3 linked regions of the Arabidopsis thaliana genome follow. The protein of the gene in region 3 interacts with the protein of the main gene of each other region in a pairwise test. Each region holds a gene or a part of one and is shown on either strand. Other genes may lie near its edges. The genes, in order: AT5G07475, AT1G74370 and AT3G52070.

The links.
Region 1: the proteins of AT3G52070 (region 3) and AT5G07475 interact in a protein complementation assay, tested with the Arabidopsis thaliana proteins (one large-scale study listed by BioGRID).
Region 2: the proteins of AT3G52070 (region 3) and AT1G74370 interact in a protein complementation assay, tested with the Arabidopsis thaliana proteins (one large-scale study listed by BioGRID).

Annotation. Positions count from the first base shown.
Region 1 is NC_003076.8:2,364,043-2,367,256, forward strand, and holds AT5G07475 (Cupredoxin superfamily protein), read right to left. Parts: upstream 1,564-3,214; 5' UTR 1,495-1,563; coding exon 1,317-1,494; intron 1,186-1,316; coding exon 785-1,185; 3' UTR 664-784; downstream 1-663. Other genes in the region: PMSR3 (peptidemethionine sulfoxide reductase 3), read right to left, coding at 1-244; KUOX1 (KAR-UP oxidoreductase 1), read left to right, coding at 3,125-3,214.
Region 2 is NC_003070.9:27,957,423-27,960,940, forward strand, and holds AT1G74370 (RING/U-box superfamily protein), read right to left. Parts: upstream 1,979-3,518; 5' UTR 1,765-1,978; intron 1,609-1,764; 5' UTR 1,564-1,608; coding exon 778-1,563; 3' UTR 664-777; downstream 1-663. Other genes in the region: AT1G74360 (Leucine-rich repeat protein kinase family protein), read left to right, coding at 1-489; XXT5 (xyloglucan xylosyltransferase 5), read left to right, coding at 2,426-3,518; AT1G74385 (uncharacterized protein), read right to left, coding at 3,303-3,518.
Region 3 is NC_003074.8:19,311,093-19,313,817, reverse strand, and holds AT3G52070 (RNA/RNP complex-1-interacting phosphatase), read right to left. Parts: upstream 1,101-2,725; 5' UTR 1,066-1,100; coding exon 721-1,065; 3' UTR 594-720; downstream 1-593. Other genes in the region: AT3G52075 (uncharacterized protein), read left to right, coding at 398-571; AT3G52060 (core-2/I-branching beta-1,6-N-acetylglucosaminyltransferase family protein), read left to right, coding at 1,791-2,725.

The sequences.
Region 1 (3,214 bases), on a different chromosome or scaffold from region 3:
TACCAGAACAAACATCTCCGTATGAAGGATTGTCTACGGTCCCTTGGGTGTATCCAGCCTCGGTCTGAGTCACCCCTGGGACTCTCTGAAACGCCAGCTCGACACCCCAGAAACATCCAGCTCCGAATTGGGCAAACTGATTCCCCGGCGCCGGTGTGTCATCGTCATTTCCCTGAGCGATCGGAGAAGGATCCATATTGGTTTGCCCACTTGATCCCAAACCCAATCTGTTGAGTATGTTCATTGAGAAATTTCTAAAGAGAGATATGAACAGAGGAGAGGAGAGAGATGCTGCGAAACTCAAGACGTGTCTTCCGGTAACTAGCGTTTGCGTTTTGGTAGCGATCACGATTAGATAGTGATAACCACAACTTTTAATCGCAGTGAATCATCTGTGATATAGATACGGTCAAACGGTGAATTTACTACACCGAACCAGATAAAATTACCTAAAATATAAACCGATATCGGTTATTTTTTGAATTTTCCGCTATCGAATCGAACAAATACAAATTCAATGTAGTCAAAGAATCTAATTCCTTTTTTTTTATTATACATTGATTGATTAATAACTTTAAGCATAACGTTGTTTACATGTCATTTTTGTAAGAAATTTGCTGAGCAAACAAAACGAAATTTGTATAACGAACCAAAAATTTAGGTTTTAATTTGGTCATGAACTCAAACAAAAATAAAGAAATTCAACAAATAAATACTCTCACTCATTATAGGGCAAATATGAATACACATATACATGAAAACACTTATTATAGATAGTTTTTAATCAGCAAAACCATATGAATGGAAAAGCAAAAACCATAAAATATACAAAAATTCCCATGGTACCCCTCCAACCGCTGTCGCCAACAAAACGGGCGGCTGAGCTAGCGACTCCGGTCGCAGGGTTATTCTTTTTAGAAGATGGTTGAAGAATCCCTGAAGTGGCGGCTTGGGGAGATCCCACGGGAGCCTGAGATGGGCCATTGCCTTCAACATTGACTAGTAACCTCATACCGGCGAAGCAATGGAGCCTATTACCGCATACAAAGAACCGGTTTCCCGGTTTGGAAAGAGCAACGGTCGTGTTCCCGTTTGTGAACGTCCGGATCGCATCTGTTGTGTTGCAATTTTGGTAGTTGTCTTTAGCCACTTCGTATACACTATGCGTCGATGAGTATTGGAACACTTGCAAAAACATTATACACATAATTAATTAGACTAATTAGTTCATTAAGGGAAACTGTAAATTAATTTGAGTTTTTAATTATGTAGTATATATATAGTTGGATGAAGCCAACATGATCAAAGATACTTACTTAGAACATCACCAGGAGAGAATCGCTTGCCTGAAGTCCAAGACTCGAGATCGGAGCTTATGTCCCAACCGGAGCTGTCTCCTACAAAGTATGTCGTTGCGTTACATCTTCTTATTACTACAACCCCAAATATGATGCAGAGATTGAAAAGAAATTGTATCTTCGACGTCTTCTTCATAGTGCACGCTGTTTGTATTTTCTCAATAAATTGCGTTTAATTTTCTTGTATTGCTATAGTTGTCTATATGCATATGTGTGAATGGAATTATGGAAATATATATGTTTTTATATAAGGCATAGGTTAAGGTTGCTCATTGGTGGATAACCTAACTTCACAACCACCACAACATATATGATCTGCTTTGTTCCCTATAGCCTTTTTTTTGTTCTTAACAAATTTTTCGTGTTTCACAATTCATATGATTCATATGCTGTTAGTTAAAGTCCACAACCCTAAAATGGTTAAATCTTGATGGAGATATTGAAGCAGTAATTCATATTTATTTTTTGTTCTTGATTGCACAACATACAAATATAGGGAAGATTTTAATGGCCAGTAAATAATGCTTGTATTTATATATGATCTTGTGGAATGGTGATATTAGTTGTTATGTACTTTTCCTTTTCTCGAAAATACTTGCAGAGGGCTTGGAATTGGCATTGAAGGGGTGTTGAACCATAACTCCTCGACTAATCCTGAGTGTTTCTCTTTACCAAACCTACCTAATAATATGCGTCCAGAGAATTTCCCTTGTAACACTTTTTATAGTTGTTGGAGCATCAGAACTAGAACATGTATGATCGAAAAATTATACTAGATATATGGTTTAGCCTTTTGGGATAAAAAGTTAAAATATAGTCGAATTTTTAAAACATGTACAAGAAAACAATTCTTTTTGTCCTAAAATATAATTTCTAGGATGAACATTTTGTTTGCAACTTTTATTTACGTATTACGTATTTATAAATTAACTAATATACCCAACGAAAAATAGTACTAATACTGTATATCACTAGAAGCTAGGTAGTTGTATTTCGATGAAAAATCGATGTAATATTATTTCTTAATTGCTAGTTGTGTTAAATTATGATTGAAAATTCTCATTTTAATGTCAGTGACAATGTGACATCAGACATTTTTTTGTCTTTCCCAAAGGAAGATAAATGCCCATTGCATGAAGGAACCCGGCGCAATACATTTTACCTAGACCTTACGCATGACCGTATATAACAATTTCATTATTATTTTTACAGAATTGTTACAACTCAAACGACATATATATCGAATTTATCTGTACATGCATTCACATATGTGTCCAACATATTTATGAAGGCTTGAAATCCGGACAAGAGGATGCTTTTTTGCGGAAAGCTTCTTTTTGTTTTTTAGTAGTTGGGACTATGAATGAGATCGAAGTCTCCATTTAAAAATTAAATCCATGTTAGTGTTCCTACTTCCTACTATATCCCAACATCTTATTAATATCCCTCGTCATATATGAATTTGGACATTCTTATACATTTCGTACAACATATGGATGTTCATTATATTATCATTTTGATAATAAAGTTTAGTTTCTTATTGGTACACGATAAACAATTGACAGTTACACATGCTCTAGATATTCCAAAAAGGAAGAATAATAATTTAGTATTCGACCGTCATATTTTAATATATAACTCCGAAATATCAATAAACGACTACAAGCCTACAAACCTTATATATAGAGGAGCCACTCACACTTTCATTTTAGTTATCCCTTCACAATATTAACCGATTTCTCAACACTCAAATTCAAATACCAATAATGGAGAAAGGTGAGGATTCAAGCACATTCAAAATGGGGAATTCTGCACAAGAGAGGAGTTTACCGTATGTACCTGACTGTTACGTCGTC
Region 2 (3,518 bases), on a different chromosome or scaffold from region 3:
AGTAACGTTCTTTTGGATAAACACGGGAATGCGAGAGTGACGGATTTTGGACTAGCAAGACTCTTAAATGTAGGAGATAGCCATGTGAGCACAGTGATTGCAGGCACAATCGGGTATGTAGCTCCCGAGTATGGACAAACTTGGCAAGCCACCACAAGAGGAGATGTTTACAGCTACGGAGTATTGACCATGGAACTCGCGACGGGTAGAAGAGCTGTTGATGGAGGAGAAGAGTGTTTGGTCGAATGGGCAAGACGTGTAATGACAGGTAACATGACAGCCAAAGGTTCACCAATAACCCTGTCAGGGACCAAACCAGGGAACGGAGCTGAGCAAATGACTGAGCTACTAAAGATTGGTGTGAAGTGTACAGCTGATCATCCTCAGGCAAGACCAAACATGAAAGAAGTTCTAGCTATGTTGGTTAAGATATCCGGTAAAGCAGAGCTCTTCAATGGCTTATCTTCACAAGGTTACATAGAAATGTAAAAATCTTTCTTTCTTTTCTTCTTTCAGATTTATTATACAGAACAACAGAGTTTTCTTCTTCACCATTTTTCGTTTCATTGTTTCTGATTCTTCTTGTACACAGAACCTCATTGTTATCAGACAGATAGGGATAGAGAAAGGTAGTTTTGTTCGCAATGTACAGAGACACAATCTGAAAATAAAGATCTTCTCTTCTTCTTGTCTATATTGAGTGTAAACAACGTTGGCTCTATCTCGTGTTTCTTACAAGTCAGGAAACATACAGGAAGAAAGAAACAGTACAATGAGTCAGGTTGCAATCTCTCTGATCAGCCAGTTTAAGCTCGGGAAGGCAAAATAAAGGACGAGAAACGACGGGACAGCCAAAGCAAACGTAACAAAGAAATAAACCCCGAGAACTGCAGCACTCACAGGGATTGCATATAAAGCCATCAACAGGAATATGACTACCAGAGGAAACTTAGCCAACAAATGAGCAACAAGAGCCATTGACTTACGTACCGAGTCATGGAGCCTCCCAGTTCTGAAGAATCCTCTGGTCACACCATTCCACCAGCTGCGATTGTCCAGCAACCCTTCATCACCCAAGGCGGTATTACTCACTCCATCACACCTATTTCTCAAGTCTCTCTGCCCTGAAGCAACCCTTTTGTTGTCGCTGGGTGCCTCCGATCTGGAGCCATTCATGCTTTCTACCATCCACAGAAGGTAAAAGTTCTTGGAAGGAAATCTGATGGTTCCATTGCAAACCAGCCTTAAAGAGAGAATATTGCACCAAGGGCAAGCAACGAAGAAGGGAAGCTGGAATGGTAAAGCAGAGGATTTGATGACAATGGCACGTTGAAGCCCTAAGAGACAGTACTTGCAGATTGTATGACCACACCATAAGACATAAGGTACATTCTCAACAACGTTGAATGATTCCCAGCAAATGGGACACTCCAATTTTTCTTCCTTTGTTGTCTTTCTTCCATCTCCTGATCTATCTAAAGTAGCTCTTCTTGGTTTTGTAGCAGCTTCTTCTCCCTTCGATATAAAACCTTCTCTGATCGATTTTGAAGCTAAATTCCACATAGCAATGGAGGGATCCACAAAGATAATCACTTTGAATCTTTCTCTCTGCAACAAGAAAATCACACACACATACACTACATAATCAGATATGAGATTTACAATCCAACCCCCAAAGATTGGACCGAGAACATACAAAAAGTAACGAACTTGATGAAACCCAAGAAATCATTAACAGAATTACAGAAAACGAAATACACTTACAAGAGTTTATCCGGTCATGAAGATGAAGATCATTGCAAAAACAAAAAATGCAACAGCTACGTCGTTGAGTTATATAATATCTCCGAAGCTCTGATGTAACCAGCGAGAAGAAAACCGGCTGAAAAAGAGACACGCGTCGTAAAACATGGTGACTCTGAAACGCCTTTCAATGTTTCCGCCGCCCCCACCGATTTCCTCACCTTATCCGTTTCTGTTTTCAGGTTTAACTACCAAAACGCATCGTTTCACTATACCGCCAAAATTAAACTACCGGTTTAGTTCCGTAATTTTCTATTACCGAAATCGGTTAAAGTAAAATAGTAGTTGTCGGTGAGAGTGAGCTGTACGCGTTTCTTCTTCTCCTTGTGCGCTTTCTGGATCGAACGAAGCATTTTCCTCCGACAATATATTTTTAAGTAATGACAATGTTTCCGCATTATTGGGTTTAATTCCATTTTTAAATTAGGGTTCTTCAGATCGACAAATCTTTCTCTTTCTCTTTCCCCGATCGGAATCATGCTAAAGATCTGAACTTTTTCTCAGATCCGTGAATAAGTAAGTACGGAGAGACAGAAACATACTCAGACTGATCTGAGGAAAACAAAGTTGATGGTCGCAAACCTGTAAGTGAAATCTATAGAGAGAGACGTTGAAGAAGAAAATGGGTCAAGATGGTTCGCCGGCGCATAAAAGACCATCCGGAAGCGGCGGAGGACTTCCGACGACGACGTTAACCAACGGTGGAGGAAGAGGTGGTCGTGGTGGTTTGTTACCTCGAGGTAGACAGATGCAGAAGACGTTTAACAACATCAAGATCACAATTCTCTGTGGTTTCGTCACAATTCTCGTCTTACGTGGCACTATCGGTGTTGGTAACCTAGGAAGCTCAAGCGCCGATGCAGTTAACCAGAACATCATTGAGGAGACTAACCGGATTCTAGCTGAGATCCGATCTGATTCGGATCCAACCGACTTGGATGAGCCTCAGGAAGGTGATATGAATCCCAATGCGACGTATGTTCTAGGTCCTAAGATCACGGATTGGGATAGTCAACGTAAGGTATGGTTGAATCAGAATCCTGAGTTTCCTAGTACTGTCAATGGCAAAGCTCGAATCTTGCTTTTAACAGGATCTCCTCCTAAGCCTTGTGATAACCCCATTGGTGATCATTATCTTTTGAAATCTGTGAAGAACAAGATTGATTATTGTAGGCTTCATGGAATTGAGATTGTGTATAACATGGCTCATTTGGATAAGGAACTCGCTGGCTATTGGGCAAAATTACCAATGATTAGGAGGTTGATGTTGTCTCATCCAGAAGTTGAGTGGATCTGGTGGATGGATAGTGATGCTTTGTTCACTGATATACTGTTTCAGATCCCTTTGGCTAGGTATCAGAAGCATAATCTAGTGATTCATGGTTATCCGGACTTGTTGTTCGATCAGAAGTCGTGGATTGCTTTGAACACAGGTAGTTTTCTGCTGAGGAATTGTCAGTGGTCGTTGGATTTGTTAGATGCTTGGGCGCCTATGGGACCTAAAGGGCCAATTCGTGATGAGGCCGGGAAGGTATTGACGGCTTATCTGAAAGGTAGACCAGCTTTTGAGGCAGATGATCAGTCAGCATTGATCTATCTCCTGCTTTCTCAGAAAGATACATGGATGGAGAAAGTGTTTGTGGAGAATCAATACTATTTGCACGGGTTTTGGGAAGGTTTGGTTGATAGGTATGAGGAGATGATAGAGAAGTATC
Region 3 (2,725 bases):
TTTAGCTATTGGTGTTTCCAGCATCAAGTCTGGTGAACGTGCGCTCTTGCATGTTTGCTGGGAATTTAGCATATAGGAGAGATGGAAACTCTTCTTTTTCCCAATGTTCCATCTATAGCGGAATTGTTAGATGACGCTGAAGTTGTTGGATTTGATGAAACAAAGGAGGAACGTTTTTTCTTTAAGATCATTTGCTGATTCTTGTTTCCTTACCTGAACACTCCACAACCAAGCTTTTATCCCAAGCTCTTTGCTTATAGCTGACTTAGAGGTTGGATTGTACAGGGAAAAGCTCGCAGTGATATGACTATGGAGGAAAGGTTTGGTGCAGCACACAGAAGGAAAATGGATGGGGCTCTCTGTTTAAGGAGGATAAATTGGAGGAGGCCAATACGAAATGGTTAGGAATCTCTCTTTCTTTCTAACAATTACGGTCAAAGTTTTGGTTTTCAAGGCATACTCAGCGACTCTGCCCGAGGCTCTTGCATCTCCTTTCGGCTCTAAAACAAAGAGCCTTAACTGGTTGATAGTGTTATCGCAATGGTTGGTTTGCCTTTTCTGCCGGAGTTAAAGCAGATAAAGAGGTATGAGAAGCTTAACAATTCAATTATATAAGACCAAAGTGAAAGATCACAACTCTCAATTCTCCTATGTCGGAATTGAATTTCTTATCTTATTACTGATTTGTGCAGAATTTACAAGGAGGAGCTAGCTTAGCTACTACCATGAAGATTTGGGGAAGCTGAGATGTTGCCAGGAGAAGTAAGCACAAACCAATAGTTGAGAGATATAAACATAAACAGCAAAAGAGAGACTCATAAGCATCAGGTCCTTGACGTCTCCTTTCTTCTTCTCTGGCTTCAGATTCTTCCCAATCTTCCCAGCCTCTGAAATCATCCTTCTCAATGTTCTCTGGATCACTCCTTCATTCTCTTCTGGTAATTTCTGCTTCCGACAAGACATCACTCTCATAGATCTAACTCCGTGTCTGCTTGAGGCTTGTCTCTTTGTACGGTGGTTAGTGCAGAGTGGGTGGTAGTAGAAGGTGGTGGAGAGAGCCGCCATGAGAAGATGAATAGAATAATTGAAGAAAGTTTTTTGTTTTGGGAATCAAAAGTGAGCAGGAAAATATCAGAATCTTGATAGCTTAACGACAAAAATGATTTGAAAAATGGGTGGATAGATCTCATCTAACACACACACATGTAGTCACAAGGTACACGCCAATGCAAAACCAAATTGGCCGAATTTCTATTCGGTTCGTTTCAACTAATTCGGTTTGTTTCGATTTCTAAACCGAAAACCCAAATTTTTTGATCCAAACCGATTCTGAATGGCCAGGTAATCAGGTATAGTCGGAAGCATCTACAAATTCACAACAACAACACATTATGTCTGACTGGTGAGATAAATGATGACTGAGTGGATAAGCAAAGAATAAAATAATGTCATAAAGTCAACAACATGTCTCTGTGACTCTATCTCTATCCTATTATTAGATTTAATCAGATAACTTTAAAATCTGGTTGCTGAAAAAACCGTATCTCATTATTATATAAATAGAGAGAGAACAGCCCCACGTAAACAAATAGCGATAGAGCAACTGTGTCGATTGTCCCAAATAATTTTAAAAATAATTTCACGTGTCCCCATTTTGCTGACGTCATTATTCCCCTTTTTCCTTTTTATTGTCACATCAGAATTTTTTCTAACTCATTCATTTCAATCAATCTTCTTCTTCTTCTTCTTCTTCTTCCTCAGAGAAATTCTGTGTTGTTGTATACAGAGAGATGTTCTCATCTTCTACACTCGTTTATTCTCTATCTCTCTTCCTCTCTCTTTCTCTTCTCTTCTTCCTCTTCATCCTCTCACCACACATCCTTCTCTCTTCCTCTACCCTCATTTCCACCGCCGATGACCTAGACGACCTCTCTCTCTTCCACCGCGCCGTCGTCTCTTCCTCCACCAACAACAACCGTCGTCTCATCTCCCTCTCTCCAAATCCACCCCCAAAGATCGCTTTCCTCTTCCTAACAAACTCCGATCTAACCTTCTTACCTCTCTGGGAAAGCTTCTTCCAAGGTCACCAAGATCTCTACAACGTTTACATCCACGCAGATCCAACCTCCTCCGTCTCTCCTCTTCTCGATTCTTCATCAATCAACGCTAAGTTCATCCCGGCGAGAAGAACCGCACGAGCTTCTCCGACGTTAATCTCCGCCGAACGACGATTACTAGCAAACGCAATCCTCGACGATCCTAACAATCTCTATTTCGCTTTAATCTCACAACACTGTATCCCTCTCCATTCCTTCTCTTACATCCACAACCACCTCTTCTCCGATCATCATCAACAAAGCTTCATCGAGATCCTCTCCGATGAACCGTTCCTTCTGAAACGATACAACGCAAGAGGAGACGACGCGATGCTTCCTGAGATCCAGTACCAAGACTTCCGTGTTGGATCTCAGTTCTTCGTATTAGCGAAACGTCATGCTCTAATGGTGATCAAAGAGAGAAAGCTATGGAGGAAATTCAAATTACCATGCCTTGATGTTGAATCTTGTTACCCTGAAGAACATTATTTTCCGACTTTGTTGTCTCTTGAGGATCCTCAAGGATGTAGTCACTTTACACTCACACGTGTTAATTGGACCGGTAGTGTTGGTGGTCATCCTCACACGTACGATGCCTCTGAGATCTCGCCGCAGCTGATTCACTCTCT